Linked DNA regions of Cricetulus griseus. The protein of the gene in region 4 interacts with the protein of the main gene of each other region in a pairwise test. Links are inferred from orthologs where the notes say so. Each region holds a gene or a part of one and is shown on either strand. Other genes may lie near its edges.

Evidence for each region.
Region 1: the proteins of Exosc8 (region 4) and Tfap4 interact in binary tests that used the Homo sapiens proteins (3 or more experiments, as listed by UniProt). The two-hybrid records come from large-scale screens. The link is inferred for Cricetulus griseus from reciprocal best matches to the Homo sapiens genes EXOSC8 and TFAP4.
Region 2: the proteins of Exosc8 (region 4) and Snrpb interact in binary tests that used the Homo sapiens proteins (3 or more experiments, as listed by UniProt). The link is inferred for Cricetulus griseus from reciprocal best matches to the Homo sapiens genes EXOSC8 and SNRPB.
Region 3: the proteins of Exosc8 (region 4) and Morn4 interact in binary tests that used the Homo sapiens proteins (3 or more experiments, as listed by UniProt). The two-hybrid records come from large-scale screens. The link is inferred for Cricetulus griseus from reciprocal best matches to the Homo sapiens genes EXOSC8 and MORN4.
Region 5: the proteins of Exosc8 (region 4) and Dusp23 interact in binary tests that used the Homo sapiens proteins (3 or more experiments, as listed by UniProt). The two-hybrid records come from large-scale screens. The link is inferred for Cricetulus griseus from reciprocal best matches to the Homo sapiens genes EXOSC8 and DUSP23.
Region 6: the proteins of Exosc8 (region 4) and Exosc10 interact in binary tests that used the Homo sapiens proteins (3 or more experiments, as listed by UniProt). The link is inferred for Cricetulus griseus from reciprocal best matches to the Homo sapiens genes EXOSC8 and EXOSC10.
Region 7: the proteins of Exosc8 (region 4) and Poldip3 interact in a two-hybrid assay, tested with the Homo sapiens proteins (2 studies listed by BioGRID). The link is inferred for Cricetulus griseus from reciprocal best matches to the Homo sapiens genes EXOSC8 and POLDIP3.

Annotation. Positions count from the first base shown.
Region 1 is NC_048600.1:42,117,273-42,120,639, reverse strand, and holds the end of Tfap4 (transcription factor AP-4), read right to left. Parts: intron 3,125-3,367; coding exon 2,969-3,124; intron 1,588-2,968; coding exon 1,393-1,587; 3' UTR 501-1,392; downstream 1-500.
Region 2 is NC_048599.1:48,439,500-48,443,610, reverse strand, and holds the start of Snrpb (small nuclear ribonucleoprotein-associated proteins B and B'), read right to left. Parts: upstream 2,801-4,111; 5' UTR 2,654-2,800; coding exon 2,651-2,653; intron 570-2,650; coding exon 418-569; intron 1-417. UniProt on the Homo sapiens protein: Plays a role in pre-mRNA splicing as a core component of the spliceosomal U1, U2, U4 and U5 small nuclear ribonucleoproteins (snRNPs), the building blocks of the spliceosome.
Region 3 is NC_048596.1:19,462,915-19,467,012, reverse strand, and holds the start of Morn4 (MORN repeat-containing protein 4), read right to left. Parts: upstream 2,801-4,098; 5' UTR 2,642-2,800; intron 1-2,641. UniProt on the Homo sapiens protein: Plays a role in promoting axonal degeneration following neuronal injury by toxic insult or trauma.
Region 4 is NW_023276806.1:96,566,638-96,570,530, forward strand, and holds the end of Exosc8 (exosome complex component RRP43), read left to right. Parts: intron 1-378; coding exon 379-496; intron 497-580; coding exon 581-626; intron 627-859; coding exon 860-956; intron 957-2,149; coding exon 2,150-2,270; intron 2,271-2,770; coding exon 2,771-2,877; intron 2,878-3,176; coding exon 3,177-3,292; 3' UTR 3,293-3,393; downstream 3,394-3,893. Other genes in the region: Supt20h (transcription factor SPT20 homolog), read right to left, coding at 3,592-3,729. UniProt on the Homo sapiens protein: Non-catalytic component of the RNA exosome complex which has 3'->5' exoribonuclease activity and participates in a multitude of cellular RNA processing and degradation events.
Region 5 is NC_048598.1:20,242,916-20,246,756, reverse strand, and holds Dusp23 (dual specificity protein phosphatase 23), read right to left. Parts: upstream 2,681-3,841; 5' UTR 2,579-2,680; coding exon 2,312-2,578; intron 1,504-2,311; coding exon 1,318-1,503; 3' UTR 501-1,317; downstream 1-500. UniProt on the Homo sapiens protein: Protein phosphatase that mediates dephosphorylation of proteins phosphorylated on Tyr and Ser/Thr residues. In vitro, it can dephosphorylate p44-ERK1 (MAPK3) but not p54 SAPK-beta (MAPK10) in vitro. Able to enhance activation of JNK and p38 (MAPK14).
Region 6 is NC_048595.1:7,861,891-7,865,390, forward strand, and holds part of Exosc10 (exosome component 10), read right to left. Parts: intron 1,556-3,500; coding exon 1,474-1,555; intron 193-1,473; coding exon 116-192; intron 1-115. UniProt on the Homo sapiens protein: Catalytic component of the RNA exosome complex which has 3'->5' exoribonuclease activity and participates in a multitude of cellular RNA processing and degradation events.
Region 7 is NC_048595.1:380,043,027-380,047,069, forward strand, and holds the start of Poldip3 (polymerase delta-interacting protein 3), read right to left. Parts: upstream 2,801-4,043; 5' UTR 2,626-2,800; coding exon 2,567-2,625; intron 1-2,566. UniProt on the Homo sapiens protein: Is involved in regulation of translation. Is preferentially associated with CBC-bound spliced mRNA-protein complexes during the pioneer round of mRNA translation. Contributes to enhanced translational efficiency of spliced over nonspliced mRNAs.

The DNA.
Region 1 (3,367 bases), on a different chromosome or scaffold from region 4:
AATGTGCCATGTCTAACACCTCACCTTTTAAAATAATGAGTAGAGGTGGGAATGAAAGGTTCAGGCTTTATGCTGATCGGCTCTACCTCTTTAAGAGACAGACCCTACCCCCTGACAACAGGGCACACACAGAAGAACTGCCTCGTCATCACCACGTCACCACGTCACCCGCCACGCATTATGGCCTGCGTGAGGACTCTGGGCATGCGTGGAATCTCAGTGCGCATGCCCAGTCTTCCCTTTAAAAGTTCCAACTTCCCTGTTTCGCTCTCTCTCTGCTGCTTCTTCTTCACTCTGTTTGCTTCTGCTTCTCTTCTCTCTCTATGGCGACCAGCCACGGCGGGCAGCCATTACCCCTGTTCCTCTTCTCTCTTAGTCTCCCTACTCTATCGGGCTTAATAATAAACTGGTTAACATGTCTCATCTGCCTCTTCTTCTTTATCTTTAATTTAAACAAAAACATAACACCCACAACAGTACATCCTCAAGAAACACAAAAGTAAAAAACAAAGTACAAATTTTATTTTGTTTCTTTACAAAGGCACAATGGCCTCTTGGTATTTTGTTCCCTACCCCCACTTTCTTAACAAAATATAATAGCTTCTCCCTGGACACAAAGACCTCAAAATTATTAAAAAAAAAAAAAAAAAAAGGAAAAAAGAAAAATCGTAAAAAAATACAGAAACCAAAACCAAAATAAAACCAACAACGAACAAAACAAAAAGAGAGACAAAGACATTTTTGGGGTCGATGATGGGAACCCCGGAGGGAAAGGTGAAGTGGAGAGTGTGGCCAATTCCGGTGCTGAGGTGGGGAGGGAGGGGAGAGGGAGAATGGCAGCAGCAAACCCCAACCGAGAAACAACAAACCGAAACAACTCCCAGGTCCCCAGAAAGCCCCAACCCAGCCTGACCCCCAACCCATGTAAGTGCTTAAAAGAGAAAAACAGAAAACCAAATAGAGGAGGGAAGGGGGGCTGAAGACTGGCGGTCTCGGACTGGCTCTGGGGAGGGAGGAAATACCTTGGGGTTTTGTTTGATTTTCCCTGTTCTTAAAAACACGTTTAAATGGAAGGAAAACAAACAAACAAACAAAAAAAGCTTTTTGGCGGAGAGAGGCCCGGCACCTCAGTGTCAGCGTCCCCGGCCCCAGGGCCGAGGCCCAGCCCTGGAGTCCCAATGCTCCCACACGTGCTATGCCACCCCAACCCCGGGACCTGGGCTTGGGTGGCTTCGATCAAAGGTCGACTTACAGTATTGAAAAAGAGGTCATAAAAGAGACCCAAATGACATCATAATTTTGTAAAAATTTCTCACTCATTCACCCATGTTTCTCCCTGTTGTTACCCCGGCCCCCTCTGACCCCCAGAGGGAGAGGAGGGCTGAGGGGTGGTCAGGGAAGCTCTCCGTCCCCTAAAGGTTCCTCCCGGCTCTGGTCCATGGCGTCGCTGTCCGAGGCCTCGGAGTCTGAGGCGGTATCGGAGGTAGGTGCCTCTGGGCAGCTGCGGACAGACTTCACAATAACCGCTCGTCTCTGTTCCTCCTCCAGCTCCTGCTTGTCCCGGGTGCCCTCAATGTGCTGGATTGCCTGGACAGAAAGGGACAATCAATTAGGAGACTCGGCTGGGGAGACCAGGCCAGCCAGCTGCTGTCTGCCCCCAAAACACATACCCCAGAACTCTTCAAAGCAGGTAGGGGGATTGAAGGGCTTGGCTTCCAGAAAACCATAGCCCTAGATGTTAGAAATGACAAGCACAGGGACTGGAGTGGTGGCTGAGTGGTTAAGAGCACTGGGTTCGATTCCCAACACCCACGTGGTGGCTCACAGTCTGTAACTCTGGTAACAGGAAACCTCACACCCTCTTCTGCCCTCTGAGGGCACTACAAATGCATGTACACATACATATATGCAAGCAAAACACTCATCCACATACGATAATAATAAAATGAAATCTTTAACAGCTCATGTTTATATATCTTGAAGTCCATTAACTCACTAAAGGTCTTTGCTATTGGCTCTAACTCAGTTGGCTGGGCATATATGCAATGAAAGTTCTAGGATCTGATGGTCTATTCTTTTTTTCTCTGGTTCTGTTTTTCAGGTTGTTTTACTATTTATCAAATAGATATTTTTGTTCACAGTACTAGTAGGAGGCCTAAGTACTACCTACCCATATAAAGGTGAAAGGGGCGGGGGAGGGTAATTCAGTCTGCACAGTGCTTGTCTTTAAGCATGAGGGCATGGGTTCAGCCCCCAGACCCACTAAAGCCAGGCATGGTGCCATGAACCTGTAATGGGGGGGGCGGGGCATGAGTAGATTCAGAAAGATCCCTAAGGCTCCCTGCAGCTCATCCTAACTGGTGAGCAACAAGCTCCAGCAACAGTTCCCTGCCTCTTGCTTCTTTGGATCCCCACCTCTGCTTTCTTAACAAAATATAGTGGCTTCTTGGACACAAGTATCTCAACATTATAGAATAAATAAATAAATAAATAAATAAAATACAGAAACAAAACCACCAACAACAAAAAAACAACAGACAAAGACATTCCAAGGTCAATAATGGGAACCCTCGTAATGAAACATCAGGAGCATCGTGTGTAAGTGTGTGTGTGTGTGTGTGTGTGTGTGTGTGTGATACAGAGACAGATATTTGCTCAAAAAATGTAGTAGGCATCTTTCCTGCATGTTATAAATAAATATATATATATATATATATATATATATACATACATACATACATACACACACACACACACACAATAAATAAATTTTATTTTAATTAAAAAAAGAAAGGAGTCTCTTTTTCCCCTGGGCACAGGGAAGGGGACCTATCCAAGCATCCAGATCGCTACTCCTCCTACATAAGCTCCATCTTGCCTTTCTTCCATCTCCTATTCCCTAGTCTCCAGTAAAAACCTTGTCCCCAAGAGTCAACTCCCACAAGCCACCCTCCCCAAACCCAAATACCTGCACAATGGTGTCCAGGTTTTGCCGGGATGTAGAAACAGAATTGATGACTGAGGAGGGACCCATGGTGACAACATTGATATGGTGGGAGGAAGGTGGGGCCGGTGCAGGCACAATCACTGTGGGGTGGTGCGTCGGGGCTGGAGGGGGCAGGAGCTGCAAGATAGATAGAAGCCCTCAGTCTCTCTCCTGCTCACCAACCTTCCTTACTCCTCACAGGGCATCTGCTCATGATAAATATCCCCCAAAGTCCATGTGGTAAAGGCTTGGTCGCTGGTGTGGCAGTATTAGAAGACAGAAACCTTAACCAAAGCTGAGTGTGGTAGTATATATCTGTAGTCATGGGACAATGACAAATTCAAGGCCAGTCTGGGATAGACAGTGAGTTCAAGGCCCACA
Region 2 (4,111 bases), on a different chromosome or scaffold from region 4:
CCCTGAAGAGGGTCAGAGGCTTCTTAAAGCAGTTTCAGACCAGGCTGCAATAGGAGAGCCCTTTAGGCTACAGCTTTACAAATAGGTAATGAGGCCAGAAAATCAAGCTCTCCCCCCTCACACACCTGTGGGGAGAACATGAGAGCCCTTTACCCCAGTACCCAGGGGCATGCAAACTCAGAAAAATTAAAAGCCTAGCAGCCCTCCTCACCAACTTCTACTTTGCTAGAATTGGAGAGCAAGGTTTTCTGGATTAAGGAAGAGATTCCTTAGCAGCTAACATTCCCCTTTAAGTTTCTCCCTTCAAAAGCAAGTGAGCAAACAAGAGCACCTAGCTGAATGGCCATCCCACTCTTGGCCCGCCCATCCATCCAGTCCATCCCAGTTCCTTCTCCCTCCCAACAGCCCTCTCCTTACTTGATCTTCCTGAATTCATCACAGTCACAGAGGATCAAATTCATATGCTTGTCAAAAGCTTTGAAGGTCCCGATGAAGATCCGGCCATCTTGCAGGATGCACCTCATCCTGTAGTCAATGTGCTGCAGCATCTTGCTGCTCTTACCCACAGTCTGCAAGGAGAGAGCAGGGAGCAGTGAGGACTCACTCACACACTTCTGCTCTTACCCACAGTCTGCAAGGAGGGAGCAGGGAGGACTCACTCACACACTTCTGCTCTTACCCACAGTCTGCAAAGAGGGAGCAGGGAGGACTCGCTCACACACTTCTGCTCCCCGCCCCCATCTTCCACCACAGCCTACTTTTCTATTCCCAACCTTCTCAACAATTTCCTGACATCTTCCAAACAAGGTCCTTTTCTGAGACTCTTATCAACCAGCTTTAGCCTTGATTTCTGCCCATTAATGTGCTATTTTCCCTGCCCTTAAAACAGGCAATCTCCCTGGGACTACAACTTTGTCTATGTTGTATCTGTCTCAGGAGAGTTAAAGTGTTCACAAACTAATCAAATCCACCCATACTAGACCTAGTGGGCATTAAGCCATCCACCACTATATAGACTCAGTTCTACGAACAACTAAATCCATCTAAACTAAGAACTGGAATTCAACAGGCACTAAGTGGATTCACTTAATTAAGGAAAAGCTTATTACCAGAAAGTGAAACCAGCTCTGAAGCAAGAACAGGAGTAGGGTAACTTGGGCAACTTTTCTGGGCCAGAGTGCTAATTAGTTTGGATACTTAATAGTCTAATATATATATATAATATAATAGTCTAATTTTTAATTAAGGCAAACAACATTCTCTATCCTGGTTCCCAATGTAACTTTGCAAAAATAAAGGCGCTTATACACACCCCTAGGTGAACAGAGGTATCTGTGGTAGTCTCTCTCAGAAACGTATCAGTTACCCACAACTATAACTGGCATTATGTCACTTTTAACTACCCAAGTTGTCTTCTCTGTACCAGGAACGCTGTTCACCCCTGTGAGCATTACCCAGCCCTAACCTGAAAACCAGATTTTGTATTTTTTTCTGCTTAAATAATCATCTCAAAGAGCTCTGTTACTAGGATCGGCGTATATCGGTCCAATAGCTAATATTTAATAGCTATGTATGGCTAGGCCCTTGAAAAGGATTTATCTCCTTTAATCCTCAAAACTGGGTCCACTGTCATTCCTTTTTACTGACCAAATAGACGACCCAAGCTGAAGGTTAAGTAAGGACTTGTCTCAGTCAACTCTCAAAAACAATAACCTATTTTCGCTACCTCGGGTTTCTTCAGCTACTTAACTAGACTAATATTTTTGGAGACATTCGAGGCATTTGTTACATTTGCTCTGTAGCCAAAACTGGCTTCAAAATTCAAGCTCCTCTGCCTACTATGCACAGAAATTACAAATTTCGAGCACTGGCCACTTTTCCCGGCTGACCTTTCTAAACCTAAGTCCATGAAGCCTGTGAAAACTCTTCCAGCGATGTCTTACTACCAAGAGGGAAAACAAGATGCAGGGACTTCAGCAACCAGGTTCCTGACAATTCGTTGCCTTCTACTGGGCCCTCTCGGTTCTCCAGATTTCTAACCCTCCCTCGTACAGGGGAGCGGGGCGCTCCTAAACAATCACTTGGGCGTCTGCTCTGGACCCGTCCCGCCCCTCCCCCTGCCGTTACTTTTTTGCCTAAAGCCGAACTGCCATAGAGAATCACATTAGCCCTGCACAGAGCCAGAAACTGAACCAACGCACAACTTATTTCAGGGTGCAGCCCCAGCGCCTGACATACCCCAACATAAAAATACGCGTAGCAGGGTCGCGCTCTGCATGCAAACACTCTCCTCCACCCTCCCGCTCCCTCCGCCTCTCCTCCGTCCGGCCCGGTGTCCCCCGGTCGGCCGGAGGCTCGCGTCCGCTCCGGGAGCCCGGGCACACAGCGACCCGGCACACGTTTCCAGCTACCGAGGCCGCGGAACTGTAACCGCAGAGGCGCCGGGCCACGCACGGCGGCCTCGGTCCCCGGTGCAGCCTTCCCCTCCACCCGGGCCCAGCCGCTCCGCAAGTCCAGGCCTTTGGCGCCCGGATTAAGCGGCTTCGACCCCGACCTTGTCGGCCACGGGCGGCTTCAACCCACGGCCGCCGCCAGCCACCGCCCCACTCCGCACCCCTGAGCGCCCCGCGGCCAGCCCGCGCCTTCTTACCATGGTGGCGGCTCCGATGTCTCAGATGCCCGCCGGATTCGCTTCCACAGAGGCCTAGTCGCCAGCCAGCAGCGCGATTCCCGCCGCCGCTAACGGAAATGCAGCCCGCAAAGTGCCGCCCCTCGTGAGGCTACTTCCGGCTCGGCCTCCGCCCCGGAGTTCCGGGCCCTGGTAGCAGTTTAGGGCGTGGAAAGGTGTTGACTGCGGCCGGTTTGTTTGGGGTTTTGTTTTTGTTTTGATTTTTTTGGTGTGTGTGGTTTTGGTTTTTTTTTTTTTTCTTCGTTTTAATTTTATCGAGCTCTCCCTCTCGTTTTGTTTTGTTTTAGAGACTGTGTCGCCCAGGCTGGTCTTAAGCTCCGATCCTCCTACCTATAGCATCCTTAGTACCGACGCGGGCGTACACCATCATATTTGGTAATAAACATCAAACTGAACGCCCTTGAAAGCATTGGATCCTCGTTGGACACACACCTTCCCAACTTAGTCTCCGCGAGGGTGGCGTGTTTCTCTCCCCGGAACCCCTCCCCTACTCCAGTTCTTGAACCCAGCGCTCTCGTGAACTCACTCACAGAACTCACTCTTACTGATTTTCCCCTAAGGCTTGAAATGTTCTTTCATCTGTACCTTTGCATTTGCTTTTGTCTCGCCCTTTCCTCTTCATGTTTAGACTGAAATAACACTGTCCTGGTGAGGACTTCCCTGATCGTCCTTTCTCTTTATAGATAGGTAGGTAGGTAGATAGATAGATAGATAGATAGATAGATAGATAGATAGATAGATAGATAGATAAGAAACGAGTCCTTCCCATTTTTTGTCTTTAATATTGATTGCTATCTGACATGCTAAGCGGTAGTCCCCTCATTGTTGGAGGGGTTACCTTCCAAGACTCCCAGTACCTTCTCCGAGTCACAGTACCAAACCCTGAATATGCTGTATTTTTTCTACATATGTATACTTCAGTGAACTTGTGCTTTTCCACTTAAAGAAAGCATATTTGGGTACCTTTGAATTGCCGGCATCACTAATTAAGTGCTTTAGGACTATTAACAAAACAAGGACCACCTGAACACAAACACTGCAACGCAGGTCAGTTGATCTGATGATCCCTCTAGCTACCGAGAGGGTAGCGTATGCAGTGTGGAAACCTACACAAAGGGAAGATTTGTGGTTAGGGCAAAAATATGGTATTTCCTCATGCTAGTCACAATGGTGCATGACTTAGAACATTAAATGCTTAGTTCTAGAATTTTCCATTTAATATTTTCAGACCTATAGACTGGGATAAGAGATGATTACTGTCTATATTCTTAAGTTATTTTATTACCCCATTAGAATGTAAGCTCCACTAGAGTATAGTGTTTTATTTGCTTAGATCACTGCTTAGCATAAAGGCTCAATAATTATTTGCTGAATGAATTAATCTTATTCTGCTCAGTGACTTCTAACTGTTGTTTATATGCC
Region 3 (4,098 bases), on a different chromosome or scaffold from region 4:
ATAGTCTGCTATAATTCTTTTCTTCCAAACAGAACTTTAAGACAGTGACAAATTTTTTTTTCTGTAGTTTATTTATTTTTCTTGAGACAGGGTTTCTCTGTGTAGCCTTGGCTGTCCTGGAACTTTGTAAACCAGGCTGGCCTCAAACTCACATAGCTCGGCCTGCCTCTGCCTTCCAAGTGCTGGGATTAAAGGCATGTGCCACCACCACCCAGCTGCTTTCATTTCTTTTTAAAAATGCTTTACATTTATGTATATGTGTATGAACCTTTGTGAGTGTATATAGTTTGTGTATGCAAGAGCCCATGGTGGCCAAAAGAGGGCTTATATCCCTTGGAACTGGAGTTCCAGGTAGCTGTGAGCCACCATGTGGGTGTTGGGGACTCAATTCTGGCCCTCTTTACTGCTGAACCATCTCTCCAGATTCTTGTTTGCTTCTCTCTCTCTCTCTGTGTGTGTGTGTGTGTGTGTGTGTGTGTGTGTGTGTCTGTCTGTCTGTCTGTCTCTCTGGTTTTTCGAGACAGGGTTTCTCTGTAGCTTTGGAGGCTGTCCTGGAACTCACTTTGTAGACCAGGCTGGCCTCAAACTCACAGAGATCCACCTGCCTCTGTTTCCCGAGTGCCAGTGTTAAAGGAGTGCACCACCACCCAGCTTGTTTCTCTTTTTTATTATTTATTTATTTGTTTGTTTGTTTTTTTGAGACAGAGTTTCTCTGTGTAGCTTTTGAAGCCTATCCTGGCACTTGCTCTGGAGACCAGGCTGGCCTCGAACTCACAGAGATCCACCTGCCTCTGCCTCCCGAGTGTTGGGATTAAAGGCGTGCACCACCAACGCCCAGCGTTTCTCTTTTCTAAAAATCAAGTTTACTGGGGCTGGAGAGATGGCTCAGCGGTTAAGAGCACTGGCTGCTTTTCCAGAGGTCCCCGGCTCAATTCCCAGCACCCACATGGCAGCTCACAACTGTAACTTCAGTTCCAGGAGATCTGACACCTTCACACGAATACACATAAAATAAAGTTAAATAAATTATTTTTAAAAAATCAAGCTTACTAAAGGCCATTTATGCATTCACCACAGTAACTTTTGTCTAAATTAAGAAGTCTTCTTTGTTTTTTGAAAGAGGATCTCTCTTTGTAGTCATGGCTTACCTGGAATTCACTATGTAGACCAGGCTGGGCTTAACTCAAGAGAGATCCACCTGCCTCTGCCTCCCGAGTGCTGGCATGCTCCATCATATCCAGATTAAATTAAGAAGTTTTAAAACAAAATAACTGCAATCACTTCCCCAACCTGAGAACACTTATTTCCCAGTTAGAGATGATTTGTTTGGGAGCAGCCACCTTAACTACCCACGCATCTCCCAAGGCCAGAGCCACTTTTCTCAAGTAGGCAGTCTTACACAGTTCTTTTAGTTATTATAAAGAAAGCAACCATGGGATTTTAGAGCCCTAAGTGGAGAAAAAGAAAGCTGTGACGAACAAAGATTAGGAAACCGGGAATACTGTTTCAAGTGAAAATGAAATAATTAGGCTTTTGAATATATAATTATAATCTCCCTTCAATTTGGTAAGTAAGCAATGGCATTGTTACTACAAACAGGTCTTATTTAGGAAGACTGTCAGATACTTAGATTTAAGAAGGTGAGAAGAGAACATTGATACCAGAAAGGGTTTTGTTTTTGTTTTTGTTTTTGTTTTTGTTTCCCCAGAGACAGAGTTTGTCCTGGAACTTGCTCGCTCTGTAAACCGTGAACTCACAGAGGTCCTTCTGCCTCTGACTCCTTAGTACTGGGATTAAAGGCGTGCGCCACCACTGCCCCAGCCAAAAAAAAGAAGGCTTTTAAAAAGATGATGGGGGGGGGGGTTTGCTGGAGAGATGGCTCAGAAGTTAAAAGCACCCGCTGCTATTCCAGAGGTCCTGAGTTCAATTCCCAGTAACCACATGGTGGCTCACAACCATCCGTTATGAGATCTGGTGCCCTCTTCTGGTGTACAGAATGTTGTATACATAATAAATAATAAAACCTTTAAAAAAAAAAGATGATGGGGACATGAGAGCTATGGGCTCTCAGGAGTAATACTGTCAGAACACTATTCTATCTCAAAGGAAAAGAGAATGTCAAAGGAAAAGAGAATGCCTGGCTCGGGCTCTGGTTGGCACCTAAGCAGTTTGTGGATGCCGGATGCCAAGTAACTGAAACAACCCATTCCCCAAGCCTCCGTACGTGGGTCGTTTTCCTACCTGTGGCACAGACGCGCCCCAGATCAAACAAAGCCCTAGACCTTCACCAGGAAACCCAGTCCTCAGCTGCATTTTTTTTTTTTTTTCATTTCAGTCTGGCTCCGTACTTTTTGGGGTCCGCTCCCACCCCACAGGCTCTTTAGCTCTCACAGGTCAGGCGTTCCCTCCAGACAGAGCACGGCACACCCCTCTCCATAACCAGTGCCCTGTGTTCTCCGGGGCTACGATCTCGGGATCGAAACTCCAAACCCAGGTTTGGGACCCCACCCGCAGCCACCTTCTGGTCAGTACAGCCCGGACAGAGGCGCACTCCCCAGCCTGGGTCACCGGCTTGACGCCTCCGTCCCCACTTTGTGGACCACACTCCCGCATCCTCCTTCCACCCGCGCCACGGGCCAACCTGAGCTTGGCCTCTTGGGGACGACCGTCACGCCCCGACGCGACGCTGGGCTCCAGCGGCCAGGATCTTTGCTCCTCTCGGCTCCCCACAGACACCTTCCTCTCCGCCACCTCCACCCGCCTCAGTCCCACTGGACGCCGCCATCCCTGATGGCCGCACTGGGCACAATTCCCGCTGCTCATTGGCTGTTACCTAGGCAACCACGAGCAACGCCACTCCCCATTGGTCCACTCTTCTTCCGTGCCATCTTTGTGAGGGGCCGAATGTTTTGGGAGCCTGGGCCAAATATCTGAAAGAGGGGTGGGGCTGAGCCTTCTGTCTCACTTCCATCAGCCAAACAGAAAAGGAGGACCCAGGTTTCATCTCTCCGGAGACTTCCAGGCAGAAACTTTAATCCCATATAAGGCCGAAGGTGTGTCCAAAGTGGCCACCAGCTCAAGAGGTTCTAATTTTTATGTTCATAAACAGCTCCACCGCAAAATCAGAAGAGAGAAACTAAATCCAGCTTTAGAAGCTCAGCATTATAATTTAGCAAGGCGCTGCACTTTTGCATTCACAGGGACTGGTTATGACCCACATCCTTTGCATTTAAAATGTGTTGCCATTCTTGGAGCAAGTCTTCCCAAATAATGTTCCCAAATATCGGTGTGTCCATATGTTTGTTTACTGAACCGTGTGCGTGCAGCATGATGTCAAGTTCTGCCAGGCTTGGAAAGCCACGGTCATTGTTGTTTCTCTCATAGGACTTATTATTACAAGACAAGGCAAGTTGCTTCAAATTGCTTTTTGGATGGGGATTTCTTCATCCACAGGTTAGAAAATGATAATGATGTCAATAATAATGGCTTTTCAGGACTTATATGAGAACACAATGTAAAAAGGAATAGTGGTTTGAAGTTATTTTTAAAAACTTTGGATTCTGTGTTCAAATTCTATCTCTGCTATTAATTGTGTATGTTTTTTGAGTAACGTATTAAGCTCTCTACCCTGTAAAATGAGATTGAACCAATAGATTTAATGTGGTACTAACACTCAATTGGTAATATAAGCTAATCTGGGAAATCAATTGTAGATTAAACTACAATCATTGAGAGTAGGAGTGTAAGAAAAAGGAGAATATTAGAATTCATGTTAGAAAATATGAAGAAATTAGATAAGATCATAGACTGTATAAGGGTAAATCATGGAAAGACCTGTAAATTAGCAAGAAGTGTATAAATGTAGTTTCTTTGATTAGCAAGAAGGCTTATTAAGTATGGGCAAACTGATTTGTCTCCTTAGGAAGCAGCATCCAACATCATAGGAGCTATAATGGCATTTAAATGAGTTCATCCATGTAAAATACTTAAAACAATGCCCAGTACTGAAAGACCCCTGGAGGCTCAGGCCCCAAGGGTTTCTGCCCAGGCAGCAACCCCAATCACCAGGCAGAGGCGAAAGCTTGATGCGAACAGCAA
Region 4 (3,893 bases):
TTAGACTGGGAAATATTTTTGGTCTTGGAATATCTTTTCTTTAAGGTAGAAACCACATTTAAAACTTTAATAGTTGGATGTAAGCACAGGCTTGTCCTACTAGAGACAGTTATTGGAGAAAAAAAAAAAAAAAAACAACCCAGAAAAACTGTAAAGAACTATGATTGAATCATAAGAAACTTTTAAAGCAGTATGGGAAAACTTTAGACAAGCATAAATTTCTTTTTCTCTCAGCCAGGCACTCTCAGAAAAAGTAATTCTAACACTGCCAAGCTTTCTACCCAAAGAGTCTATCCATAGCCATCACCTGTGCTGTGGGGCAGTCCCTGTACTAGGAACCTCAGCTGTCAGGGGGTGAAGTTTAGCTCATAGCTTTAGTGTTTCTTTCAGTCCCTAATGTGGATCTACCACCGCTGTGTTCATCGAGGTTTCGGACTGGACCTCCTGGAGAAGAGGCCCAAGTAACCAGCCAGTTCATTGCAGATGTCCTTGAAAAGTAAGATTATTATGAAATTTTACCGCCATGCATTATCAAATGTTTTACCTTTACATTTACTGTGTTCTTTATCATTAAATCAAGCTCACAGATAATTAAGAAAGAGGACTTATGCATTTCTCCAGGCAAGGTAAGAACAGACTGAGCTCTTATGAACTCTGAAGTGGCTGTGTGATCTAATATGATAGTGGGGATGAATCAAAAACCTTAAACCCTGAAATTAAGAGCTTAGAAGGGATTCTGTAATTGTTTAGACTTTTAAGTCCATCTTAATTTGTCTAATCAATGGTCCTGCAATTCAGGCCTAAGGAAACAGCAATATTCTATTATCAGGTCTAACTTCTTTTATGTGAACTATTTTAGCTTGCTTGGGTTCTGTACTGTGACCTTATTTGCCTAGACTACGATGGAAATATTTTGGATGCCTGCACATTTGCTCTGTTAGCAGCTTTAAAGAATGGTAAGCAGCCTTAATAAAAACATTTTCCTGCTAATATTGTCAAGAGTCCAGTTGGTCAAAACCTTTTACAGGGCTTTCTTGAGATTTAGATATCAGTCACATAATTTTTATTTTGTAAGACAGTATCCCATAGCCCAGGCTGGCCTTGAATTCCTAATCCTCCCAGATGCTGGTAATATTTTAAGTTTGAACTACCTTGCCAAGTTTGTGTTCCTAAGTTAGTCAACTTTACAGGGTTTTCTAAAAATGTTTTATGTTCTGTAGCCTTTTAGAATCTCTTTGTCTCCAGCAGCCCTTCCCAGAATTCACTGAACTTAGATAGGGGATTTTCACTATAGTCCAAGTGGCTTGTGCAGATTGACCATAAGTATTTCCTGATAGTGATGTTCCTGGTAAGGGCCTGGGTAGGTTGGTAATGTCATAGAATATCAATTGTGCACATTCCAAGTCATTCTACATTGCTGAATGGACAACAAAACTAAGCTAGGCATGGTTGTCAATGCATATATCCTCTTCCCACAGGAGATGAGAATGGCAGATTGAGGCTAGTTCAGACTGCAAAACAGTATTCTTTCTTTTTAAAACATCCAACTAACTTATAGTGGAAGATATAGTTAATAGTGGTATTAGTGTAGTCCTAGTTAAACATCAATCCAGCCTGCTTGCTTCCTCTGTAATAAAATGGTACTGAAGAGCAGCACTTACTACTTTAGGAGAGTGGGTGACCAAATCAGTGTTATAAAATAGATACTGGGCATTGGTGGTGCAGGTGGTTTGTTGGCAATACATGCCTTTAATCCCAACACTTAGGAGGCACAAAGGCATGGGGGGATATCTGAGTTTGAGGCCAGCCTGGTTACATAGTGAGTTCTAGGACAGACAGTGCTACACAGAGAAACCCTGTCTTGGGACGGGGAGATAAAAATCCAAAACAGCTTGGCTGGAAAATAAGATGTACTGAGGAGTCTTCTTCTACCATATTTACCTTAATTGTTTGAGATACTTAAAACTATACTAATATCAGGTGAGTAGTACACAACTCTAATCCCAAAGTGGGTTCCAAGCTAGATGGGCTACATAGTGAGATCCTGTCAAATAACTGTTCTGGATAAGCTAACTTGGGAAAAGAAAGGATTACAGTGAAGCTATATACCACAATCACCTTATATGTATGTTTATTTGCCTTTTTGTAGTGCAGTTGCCTGAAGTTACTATAAATGAAGAAACTGCTTTAGCAGAAGTTAATTTAAAGAAGAAAAGTTATTTGAATGTTAGAACAAACCCAGTTGCAACTTCCTTTGCTGTGTTTGATGAGTAAGTTAATCAAAAGTAACACTCTAGGTTCTAAGATAATGGCTTGTTATTTAGATATCTTTACAAGAAATGTCCCCGAGTCGACTACCAACCCTAATTTGCTGTGGACATTTGAGCCCTGCCCTGCAGTTCCTTTAGTTGGTGCTTCCATCTGCACTGCATTTTAATGTACAGGACCAATTCTATGTTCACCTTACTTGCCCTCTGTTTCTTTATGCCCTTTTTCCTGGATGGTGATGGGGACTGTATGGGGCCTGTTCATACTAAGCAAGTGCTCCATTGCTGAGCTATGCTCCAAGCTACTACTCTATAATCTTCTGAAACTGTCTTCAGTATTAGCTGCAGAACCCAAGCTGAAGAGCAGGGAGTTCAGAAGTACTGGGCTGCAGGGTGCTGCCACTCACTCTGGCTTCCTCCAATCAGTCTCTTCTTGATACCCTTCCCCTATTCCGCACCCCATGCACATTTTTTTTTTTATCACTTATATTTTTCAAATGCAGTACTTTGCTGATCGTTGATCCTACTGGAGAGGAGGAACACTTGTCAACAGGAACCTTAACGATAGTAATGGATGAGGAAGGCAAGCTGTGTTCTCTTCACAAACCAGGTATGCTCTTTTCACTGCAGCTTTAAACACTGGTGGGGAGTGGTTGTCAAGTGGAGTGTGGGAAGTTTGACTGTTTAGCTGATGTAAGTTTATGGGCTTCTTTGCTATTTTTTTTTTTTTTTGTGTGTGTGTGTGTGTATCATTTCTAAACATATCTGTTTTCTGGAGTCTTCTAAAATGAACCTGCAGAAACCACACCACTTGATTTAGATGATACTTGATTTAAAAAGTAAATATTTGACTTGATCTTAAATTTTCACGAAATAACGGAAACACTGAAAATTGGCACAATTTTTCAGGTGGGAGTGGACTTACTGGAGCTAAACTTCAGGACTGCATGAGTCGTGCAGTTTCGAGACACAAAGAAGTGAACAAGCTGCTAGATGAAGTCATTCAGAGTATGAAACACAAATGAATAGCCACCACCATTGCAAAACAGCTGTAAAAATTGTATTTGTTACACTGTGCACAGGCTTTTTATACTAAATAAATACCAAACTATGTTCTTTTTGAAGATATTTCTAGTAGTTCTTAGATGGTATATATAGGAAAACATTTAACCATGTCTCCATATAAGAATCACAGGATTGTCCTTCTGTATAAAGTATGTACATCCATCAATGTAAAATACTGACATCTTGGGGGGGGGGGATGAAGTAGAAATGCAGTTCTTTTCATTCACTGGTCTTGTAAAAAAAAAGAAAGAAAAATTGCTCAGAATTTTGGAGTGGTTGGCATGCCTCTCTTCACTTTACTCTTTGACTGGCCACCTGAATGTCGGTGACGATGTAGCTGGGCTGTTTGTGCGGCGGCTGCTGCCATAGCCATCTGATGTTGCAAGAATCTCAACTGCTGTAAAAGTGGAAAAAAGGAGATGACATTATGTTAAATGCATAGGTGTAGAAAGGTGCTTCCCCAGGAGTGATGAAAACAAGCCCAAGAGGAGAAAGCATGAGGTCACAAAGGGTACTTCCCCAAATCAGGATACTGTAGGGGTCTGCTGAGGGCTTTAAATA
Region 5 (3,841 bases), on a different chromosome or scaffold from region 4:
TAACTAAGCCTTTTGTGGAAGGGTGAGCTGGATAATGTTTAGTTAGGGCCAGCAGAGGACGGGGAGAGAAGTCCTGGGGAGGGGATGGCATAGGCGAAGCTCTGGTCTTCAATACAAGAGATGGAGGCTATAGGGGAATTCTTGACTATTCTGTGCTGAGCCTGCAATAGTAGAAATGGCCTTTAGCATCTGTCATGTGGGAATGGACTGTCACTACCTATCTTCTCCTGAGAGTAGGAATCATGTTTTATTTTGCTGAGTCGCCTCCACCTCTGACAGCACCTAGTTCACACAGGCACTCGATGTATATCTCAGGGTGGATCTCCCTTCTTCAGTTCAGCCTGTTATGGCAGAAGACAGGGCAAAAATTCAGACTGACATTATAAGAGAGTCCACTGGGCTCATGTATGACATTCATCTCATCTCCAAAGTGTGGTGCCAATGGCAGAATGGAGCCCTACAGGGGAGACGTGAAGAAGACAAAACCCAAGAAACATGGCCAAGAGTCACAGCCCAGAGTTATTTATTTGATTACTTAATATCCACTCTATATAACCACCAAGACTCAGTTCAGGCATTCCTTGGCTTGAGGCTGGGGATGACACAGAGGCTGGAGGTAACAAATGAGCTGGGTACACCTGAGGCTGGTAAGAGGGGAAGAGGGGGAGAGAGAAGGAGGGGGAGGGGGAGAGGAAGGGGGGAGAAGAGAGACATCTGTGACACCCAAGTCTTCTGTACCCTGAGAAGAACAAAGGTGACCCAAGTGGGAGCAGATGAGCCTACATAAGGGGTGATATCAACAAGGACACTCCTGGTGTGGGAGTGTAGAGCCCCGAGGCTGCTCGGAGCTGGGTGGCCAGAGACACGGATCTCTTTCACTAACCCGTTCTCTAGAAACCATATCACATACGTTTAGGGAACAGCACCTAGAATTTCAACATCTTCAAGGAGACAAAAGCGTGTGTTGCAGTCCTGGCCCATCCTTCTGTTTTCCAGAACTGTGACCATGAGCTCTAGCCACCTCATTCAAAGAACAGAAATGGCTTTTATCTTTTCTACAACCCAGGGCTTACATGGAGTTGATGTACTGGGAGTGCTGTGTAACGCCATGCAGTGCAAATGAGTTCTTATTAGTTATTAACTTATATTCATGGGGTCTCAGCCATCCTGTCAATCAGGTTATGGCTTCGGGGAAATACTACTTCTGTCCAATAGGAGGCAAAGGGAGCTGAAGGCTGTAGAACTTAAGTCCACTTTCCATCCTCCCTGGCCACATTTTCCACAAGCAGCAGCAGACAGGGGGAGCTGTCGAGTTCCTTATTTTGTTCGCTGGTAGAACTGAAAGACAGCTTTCTCTTGTTCATAGGTCTCAATGGATCCCGGCCGCAGGCGCCGAATCTCAGCAATGGCATCCCCTGCATCCAAGCCCTGCTCCTTCACCAGGTAGCAGGCCAGCATGGTGCCGGTGCGGCCAAAGCCCAGGGCACAGTGCACTCCGACAGCCTGTGAAGAGGAAACCCATGGAGTGGAGTCCAATGCCCTCCCCAACAGTCTCCTGTTCCCACCGAAAGGTGCTGTTCTCCCCACAAATCTCAGGCCCTCAGAGGGCAAGTGACAGCAACACTGTTGAGGACTGTCCTTGCTTCTGGTGACATGGAGGCCTCAGAAGTGGCTGGTTCCCAAGTTGGGCTCTCAGCCTGCATCTCCTGCCCCCTCTATCTGTGCTGTCTGTTACAGAACACCCAGCCACTTGTGGTATTTTTTACCTGAAATGTGTCAGTCCAAATTGAGCTTGGGTGTAAAATATTTACCAGGCTCTGAAGATGTGGCACGGAAAAGACTGCAAATGCCTCACTAATAATTTATTTCATATTGATTCCATGTTGAAATAATATTTTTGACTTATTGGATTAGTAGCAAAATTAACTCCACCTGTTTCGTTTCATCTCTTTATGAAACGTAGCTGCTAGTAAAATTTAAAGTTACAAGTGTGTCTCCATGACATATGGACCTCTAGAAAATGGGTTTTGAACCACTTCCATCTGGCTTCGGCGCTCCGCCGACTCCTGGAAGCATTTCACTTGACAGTACTCTCTCCAGCCTGCTTGGCATCACCTAGCCTCCCTCTCTTCTAGCAGCAGAGCTGACTCTAGTCAGAGGATGGGTGGGTTTCATCTAGCTCCAGCCCAGCCGGGTCCCACCAGGCCCCGCCCACAGCCTCGCCCTCTCCTTTCTGACTCCACCCCCGCCCCGCCCACTCATTTCCGTCCAGGCTCCGCCCTTTCGCTTCGGCCTAGGCGAGCGCGCTGACCTCTCCGCGGGCGTTGGCCTCGTCCACGATCTTCACAAATTGGTCGATCTGTTCCGGGGCCGGCGGGCAAAAGTCAGGGATGTGGATTCGGTGCAGCGTGAGGCCCGGACAGCTGTCGCTGTGAGGGGGGCCGCGCTCCGTTAGGGACACCAGGTGCCGCACGCCCAGGTCCAGCAGGAACTGGTAGTGCGCGGGGTGCCGCGGCAGCGCCAGCCCGGCCAGCCGGCCCGGGAGCACCCAGGAGAAGTTGGGGGGCTGCACGCCCATCGCGGGGGGGAGGGCACTCAGGGCGAGGCCAGCTTTGCCTATTCCGCCCTCGCGACCCGGTCACCCCCTTAGCGGGCCACGTGGTCCCCGGACCCGCCCCTGTGACGCTCCTCTCCACCCAGGGTTGGCCGAGCCGCGGGGGCGGGGCTAAGACGGCTCCTAGACGAGCCGAGCTCTGCGGGCCCGCTGGTCCCGCTGATCCGGAGCAGGACCCTCGTTGATAGGTTGGATGATCAACAACAAGCTCGGTGATTGCAGCCGGGAGCGGATACACGAAGGAAACCTGGAACAAATTAATTGCTCCTGTAGACAAAACCACCTAGGGCTGGGCTCTGCTGCTCCCTGGTGGTGTGTTGTAGTTACTGCACGGCGGGCCAGCTGCCCTGTCACTCACTCTTAAGGGCCTAGTCTCCCCTTCACTGTTTATGCACAGGGGTTTGAGTTGGTGACAAAGCTGCTTCCGCCTGGTCACGCAGGCGTGGGTGGGTAATCTCCCTAATGTCCAAGCAGTCACTGTGGGTGTCTTCTTGGGTTCTTCTAGTAAGAGGGGATTCCTGTGTCCCAGGCAATTATCATTTACTATTGCTGGGACTGTTAAAAAAGGGCGTGGCTCGGGGAGAGGGGGGATTCTGACATGTGGCACCTTGAAATGTCGCTCAGGGTAATATGGTAATTACAGTCAACAACATAACAGCTAGCAATAACTGAGCGTTTGCTTTGTGGTATGTACTCGTGCAAGCACTCTTAATATGTTAGCGAATTGGCACAAGATAGTTGATGAAAGCAGCCCCCTTTTAGAGATGAGAAGACTGAGACACAGAGGAGGTTAAGAATCGTCAACAGCACAACACTTTCCTATAGTCAAACAGGAAATGGCATTTCCATCACTCAACCATCCTCACACCTTTCCAAACACCATCTTGTTTAAAGCCCTGGGTATTTAAAAAATTTTATTCACAGTTCAGACATCTCCTTATTCAAGGTCCTGCTCCCCCAGTCACTCTAGCCTGGTCAGACAGAGTTTATCAGTGTTATTCTTGAGCAGTATCTCACCCGGGTTCAGGGTACTGCGTGCTGTCTACTGAACGAGGTACCGTGAATCTGACTACCAGTAATTATGGGAATTGTTAGCGCTGTGCCAGGCCCTGTCTGTGTTGTATGCTTTCTCAAATAACAAAATGTGGAGAGTATTTTTGTATCCTTTTTGTACACCAGCAACCAGAGGCCGAGAGAAGTTGGGCACACTGACCTAAGCCCACAGCA
Region 6 (3,500 bases), on a different chromosome or scaffold from region 4:
GAATTCTCGTATCCCCTGACTTGAGAAGATGGGCACTGACTGGGGTGTAGAGTGAGCCCTCCGACAATGGTCCAGGAAAACTCGGAACATGACCAGGGGCATCTACTGCACGTACCACAGCCTGCTGCCGCACGGGGATGGCCTGTTCCAACGCAGTAGCTTCAGACTCCTCCTGTGCCTGTTTCCGGGCAGCTGTGAGAGAAAACCCTATGTGGACTTCCTGCCATCTGTCCACCCAACCTGGGCACAAGGGCTGGTGGTGCTGCCCTTCCCTCCACCTTGGGCTCAGCTAAGTGCTCAGTTAGAGCCTTAACTGTAGGCTCTAACCAACAGGCTTGCCCTGCCTGTGCCTCTCAGGAAGCCAGGAAACACCCAGTAGCTTACAGGTTCTAAGAAAGGATGAGTCCTAGTTCTGGCACCTATTAACCATTCTTAATTAGACTCAGGCTTTCTGTCCTCTACTTTGTATCAGTTGGATCCACTGGCTCAGAGCCCTGCCAAGTCACTCTAAGGACCAGCCAGCCAGGAGGCTCTGCCTGTTTGCCTGCCTCTCTTCCCTGGGTACTCTGGGCATGCCAGCCAGCTACCACATGGGACCTTGGTCTCTGCCTCAGTCCACTCTTCCCATGGACCCATGCCAGCTGGTAACTTCAGGTGACCCAGGCTGCTTTTTCTCACCAGCACCCACACAGCGCCTTCTTTGCCTCCTCCCTCTCTACACACAGCACCCCCACTTTACAGGGGCAGAACACACAGGAAGTGATTGTGTGCCACCCCCAGGGAAAGTTGAACTCTAAGAGGTTGAGGCTGGGCGGGTTCTGCCCACTGCCCTGTCTGTCAGTGAGGCCCTGGATCCCTACTAGACACCTGTCCCTCAACATCCTCAATCAGACTGATATGCTAGGGCTGTCTCTGCAAAGACTACTGTAGAAACTTAGCAGAATTGATGTATCTGGGGTAGACATGAGAATAAAAACTTGTTTTCTAGAAGTGCTTTGACCTTGAAGAATTATTGTGCTAAACAGTAAAGAATCTTTGTTGAAAACAGTGATTATTTTCAGCGTTTTGTAGAACTGTTTTTCTAGGGGCATTGCAGCCTTTACATGACTTTGGTCACAAGACGACTTTGGCACACCTGAGGCTCTTGGATTATCACGTATTGCAAACGACACAAATAGAGGACTAAAAGTCATGAGTGCATGTGATGCTCTCCTTTGGAGAGACATATGGATTAGACTAGGAGCCTGGGTATGAGGAAACACTTTATCTTAAAAACAACTCTGTAACAATCAATAAGCATGCCTTTGTATGACTGACTGATGATGTTCAGTTCACCAGAGGCCGGGCCTTCCTGCTGCCATCCAGGCCTTAAAACTTCACCTTGGAGTGACCTCTTACTCCTTACTTCGACCAACCCACGCAACACAGAACACCTTACAAAAGACCATGAACTTACAAGCACTCGAACACTACCTGTTTGCTCGGCTACCTTCTTCGTGGCTGCTTCTTTAGGTTCTTTCTGGACCTGACTGGCCAGCTTCCAGCGGTTGCTGATCTATAATGAAAACAGACAATGACCAAAACCAAAAAACCAAAACCATTAAAACCCCTGCTTAAACTCAGGAACTTAGGATGTCCTAGTTGTTAAGAGGCAACAGAGGGCATGCTAACCTAATAATGATACATATTCTGAGCCACCACACTGGCTGGCTTTAAGAGGACAAAGTACATCTGACCCCAGACTCCAGGCTGCATGTGCTTATAGCAGACATCTCATTCCATCCAGCCCACCCTCCCTCCAGGACAGGAAGGAAGCCTTAGTCACTTGCCCAGTGGCCCAGTTAGTAAACAAAGCTGGGCTCAAGAGGAGTCCCCCCTTGGTCCTGTTTCCCTTTCTGTCCCACTTAGAGCTGTGACCTCAGTCCATATCTTGGTGACCCAAATGAGCACCAGGAGGGATGGACAGCTGAAGGGTTTGCCACAACCAGGGAGGAGGAGATAAAGAAAAGCCCACTCACTTGGTCTTTCTTATTTTGACTTTTGAGTCAAGGCTGACATAAAAGGTTTTATGCAGCCAATGATGACCTTAAACCCACTCTCTTGCCAAGTACTGGGTTTACAGTTATATACTATAGACTCCCTATTTCCAGTGCCCGCCCCCTCTTTCGGTGGGTGAAAGAGAAGGTCTCCCTATGTAGTCCTGGCTGCCCTGGAACCTGCTATGTAGACAAGGCTAACCCTGAACTCAGAGCTCCACCTGTTTCTGCTTCTGAAATGCTGGGATTAAAGATGTGGCTCTTATACTTGGCCTGTTTTTTCCCTGGTTTGGGTCTGAACCCAGGACCCTGGGCTTGCTAAGAGTTCGCTATCACTGAGCCAAGTCTCCAAGTCCAGGACTTCCCATTTCTTCTTTTCTAATTTTAATGTTATTATTATTCTTTTTCTTTTGAAGCAGAACCTCACCATGTAGCCCTGGCTCCCCAGAGCTTCATATGGAGACTAGGTTGGCCTCAATATCATAGAGAATCGCCTGCCTCTGCTTTCCATGTGCTGGGATTAAAGGCGCGCACCATCACACCCAGCCACCCTGCTGTTTCCATTAAATCTTATTCACTTTGTGTGTGTGTGCACGCTGTGCATGTGTGAAGGTAAAGATACAACGTGGAGTCCATTTTCTCCTTCCACCATATAGGATCCTGGGATTGAACTCAGCTTTCAGGCACGGTGGTGGGCTGTTACCCACTGAGCCATTGTGCTAGCTCTGGGACTCTCCATTGCTAAAAGCAGCAGGCTAAACTCTTAACACAGGACTCAGGCCTGTCTGGGTGCCTACACCAAACACATCCCGCCTACAGGGAAAATGGAGGCTTTGAATCAGTGTGCCACCTCCCAGTCACAGAGAGGACCTGTGGGAGGGAGGGGTGTTCTTGTCCACAGTGCAAGGCAGTGCCTCTTCAGTTTCAAGCTGCTCCCTTTAAGAGCCTTGAAGTGACATACACATGTACAAGTGTTATAAACTATATCATTTATGTACTTTATTATGTATAATTTACTCCATTAGAAAAGCACAAAACAGTTTGTCATTGTTAACTTTCCAGTGCTGAACTTGAACCCAGGCTCTCATACATTAGGCAGACACTATCCTACTTTGATAGCCTGTGAACCAGAGCAGGCTTCTTCTTGTATTTTTAAGGCTGGGCCTCACAGACCCCAGGTTATCCTAGGACACACTATGAGCTGAAGATGACTTTGAACTTCCGATCCTCCTGTTGTCACCTCCCGCGTGCTGAGATTACAGGTGTGCATCTCCATTCCAGCTTTATGTGGTGCTGGGATCAAACAAGGGCTCCATACAAGCCAGGCAAGCACGCTACTAACTGAGCTCTGACCCCAGCCCCAAACCCTTTGTCGCAGAGATTCCCAAAGGCTTCCGAGGACTGGGCTATGGTTTGGCCTCTCCTCTGTTTTCAGCGGCCTACAGAGATCTGAAGCCCACCTGA
Region 7 (4,043 bases), on a different chromosome or scaffold from region 4:
TCTGCCTCTGGAGTGCAGGGATCAAAGGCAAGTGAGCCACCACTGCACAGTTAGCCTTCCACTTTCAATAGCCAAGTCCACCTTATAATGGCTTTTGGGACTGTCCATGACAGTCCATGGTCCAGATGTATTAACGAACATAACTGATGTCTATGCAAACTTAAACATAAAACTAAATAACTATGAGGAAATGTAAATAAAAATAATTGTTGCCAGGTGTTGGTGGCGCATGCCTTTAATCCCAGCACTCAGGAGGCAGAGGCAGGCATATCTCTGCGTGTTCGAGGCCAGCCTGGTCTCCAGAATGAGTGCCAGGATAGGCTCCAAAGCTACATAGAGAAACCCTGTCTCGAAAAACAAAAACAAAAACAAAAACCAGAAAACAAAACAAAACAAAAAAAACACAAAAAAAGTTATGTAAAACACTGCTGAGCTTTGCAAGAAAACAGGTGTTTTCTTGCTACCCCAAATCCTTCACTAATGTGGCCCTTGTGTCCCAGCACTGATGTAACTGTGGTTTTGTCTTAAAAAGTGACATCTCTGAGCTTGGTCACCAAGAGACTTTCAGAGGCAGCTCTCGGTCTGGCCATTAATAAAAGGACTCAAAACTAGTAATTGGCTTAATCATCATCATTGTCAATAACTATCTCTCATGGGTCATGTCACTATGACCCAGAAGACAGGTGACAATTGGAACTGGTGAACTGGGTGGTGATGGAAGCAGTAATGCTGAGATTAGAGTACATTTCAGTGTAGGAGACAGAAGTTTTGCTAGACACAGGCATGGGGGAGGATGAACACTTGCTGAGCAGATCAGTGTCTGGGAGAACAGAACATCTCTACAGGGGGGCATTTAGAAACTCTTAAGTTTGTAAATGTGCTGGACCACTAGCCAAGTTACCACTGGCAAGTTTAAATCACTGAAGGGTCCAGAGTAAGTCTGAACATTAGCCCACCTACCCAGCTTCTTCTATTGCTTGGCCCTTGCCCTATATTCTCAGTTGCTGGGAGAACAAGTTAAAAATTAAGACAAGACCCCAGCTATGTCAAGAGGTGTGCTAAAATAACCACAGACTTGTGTAAGAAAACCCCATTAAGCTTGCACAAACACACCTTGTTATCACAAGTTGTAAAATCCGAAGTGCACTCCTCTCCTTGGCCTCCCCTCAAGACCTAATCTGAAGATTATTCCTTTGACTCCCCACCCTTTGTATGTTTTTCTGCCATAAAAAAAGAAGCTTATGGGGGCTGGAGAGATGGCTCAGCAGTTAAGAGCACTGACTGTTCTTCCAGAGGTCCTGAGTTCAATTCCCAGCAACCACAGGGTGGCTCGCAACCACCTTGAATGAGATCTGCATGCAGGCAGAAGACTGCATACATAATAAATAAAATCTTAAAAAAAAAAAAAAGAATCCTATTAAAAAAAAGAAGAAGAAGAAGAAGAAGAAGCTTATGGCCTCTTCTTAGGGGTCTCAGGTCACAGAGGCAGATTCCACCCTGCCAGTGGCCCTAACCAGTTAGACACTCTGGTATCCTTCGGTGATAGGATAGAGTTGCTAATACTCATCTAACGTTGGTGGCCTCATCTTCAATATCCCCAATTATAAGCTAAAGATGGCTACCAATGTTTAAGAGTCTATTGAGTCTTTTAAGTGCTTCTCACTTAAAACTCCCTGACATCCATCAGTGAACACCAATACACCCTCTCTTTTTCTTCCCTTGCCAGTGGCCAACTCAGCCAGCAGTTAAAACTCTGAGGCCTCTGTGGCCTTGGGAAAGTCACTCTACCTTCTCTCAGGCTCCAGCTTCCTATCTGTGAAGCCGGTATAAGGTAAGTAAACAGCACGGAAGTGTCTGGAGCCCCACCTACTCGGGAGACTAAGGCAGGAGTTCGAAACCAGCCTGGGCAACATGGAGGACGCCAGCTTCTCAAAACAGAAACAAACTCGCCTGTCATCCCAGCACTTAGGGTATGAAAGCAGAGAGGATCCAGGCATTTAAGGCCTGTCTTCAAGACACAGTGAGTTCGAGTCCTGCCCCCGTCTCAAGAAAACAGGCAAAAAAAAAAAAAAAAAAAAAAACATTACAGACACTACAGTGATAGGAACAAGGCAGTTGGCATATGAAAACTCTAAAACGCCTCTCAGCGGGTCAGGGTTCACGACAGTGGCTTGAGAGAACCTGGAGAATTGGCTATTACAGCTCTGGGTTAGGGTCTCGTCCGCTCAACTTCCATCCTCTTAATTCCGAGGGCCGCAAGGCCCGAGCAGGGGCTGCGCCACCGTCGCCCTCGGACCCAGTAGCCAGGTAGGAAGGCCCGGCCCTGCCCTGCCCTGCCCAGCCCCGGGCCCGCCTGTGGCCGGGCCTCCCGGGCCCGGTAGCCAGTGGGCTGGCAGGCGATGGGCCCGCGCGGCCTGGCCAATAAGGAGCGCGGCGGACGCAGGGGGCGGGCGCAAGCGGCTTCTCGCGTCGCGACCGGGACTGCTCCGTCCTCCGCCCCCGAACCCCACGAAGCAGCGAGCCCCACGAGCCCCACGAGCCCCGAATAAAGGGAAAGGCCGCTCACCGTCCCTTGGTCGCCGTTCCGCGCTTCCGGATGAGCTCGTCCAGCGAGATGTCGGCCATCTTGCGCCACCGAGCTAGCGGAGAGTGGGGAGGCGACAGCAGCGAGCCCGCCCCTTGAACACTTTCGGAGCGACGAGCAGCTTCCGACACCCGGACAACCAACTCTCGCGACAACTCAAAACGAAGTTCGGAACGGAAGGGGTGGGGCCCGCTCCCCGTGAGCCTTTGCGGTGGCCACTTCTAATCTGCATATAGAAAGCCGAAACGTGGTGCATTATTTTTTTCCTTCCTTTTACAGACGAAGAGTTAAAATGATGGAAGTTGGTAACCACTAGAAAACGTTCATATAAATAAGTCTATCGGCTCAATGGACGATCTGAAACTCACCATACTTGTAATGCGAATCTAATTCCTTACCACTGAGGGCCGGGCAGAAACTCTTTATGCCTTAAACTTATGAGTAAGGAAAATAACGATTCGGGGTGACGCCCGAGTCCTCACTGCTAATGTGAGACGAATTTTTGAGCGGGTAAAGGTTGCCCCCTAAGGCGACCCGCCTACTTTGCGGGATGCCTGGGTGCGGTAATCTGCCCGACCCCCCCACACGATAAAGAAAGTCAGAAAGCTGGCGAGCAGCTCAGCCCGGTTGCTGGAGATAATAGGCCGCATTTATGTGCATGCACGGAACTCCTTAAATATCCCTAGCTAAGCAAACAGGCTGCGAGGCTTTTAGCCACCTACTGTAGGGTGGAAGGTACAAGTCCACCTCCGGGTTTGAAAATATGAAAAGCTAGGTCGAAGCCCGGAGAACTCTGCAAGTTCAGCACCGCATCTGAGTCTGAAGAATTATCTTGGTCCCAAGAGTAGAGCTAAGGTTGGGTGTTCCCTTTCCTTAATTTTAAGTAGAGACCACCAGCCTCTTGCTTTCATGCTCTGTCTCTCCTGTTTCTCTTTGCTGTCACTATTTGTGCGGGATCCCAGAGTGGGCAAAGGGAAAGCTGCAGGTTTAGCCTCAGTGTGTCGGGGCCAGTTGAGCGGTGCGGAGATGTGGAACCCGGAGTCCAGCTGCACTGGGGGAGGGGGTGCCCAGGGTCCTGCTGGGGACAAGTCTCCAGTGACAGCATCTCTTCTGGAGGACTTCAACTCTACACCAGCATACTACATAAGCAAGTGTTACCCTCTTGTGAATTCCTTTTCTTTTCACTAGTTCCTGATATCTTTGGAGCAGGTTGATTTTTCCCAATTCCATGTGTTAGGGAGTGATTTCTCCACACCCCAAGATCAACTTCTGGGAGTCAAGGGGCCACTGAAACTTTCTAAATGAGCCTCAGGTCTAGGCAGAGTGAATAATCACTAGCCCACATGGTGGACTGGAAAACTGAAGCAGAAAGGGCCCGGGCCGGGTCCAGCACATCTCCTAATCCTAGTTTTGTTTTCAAAGAGTAAGACCAGTTCCCTTTCAAACACCGATTTCACAT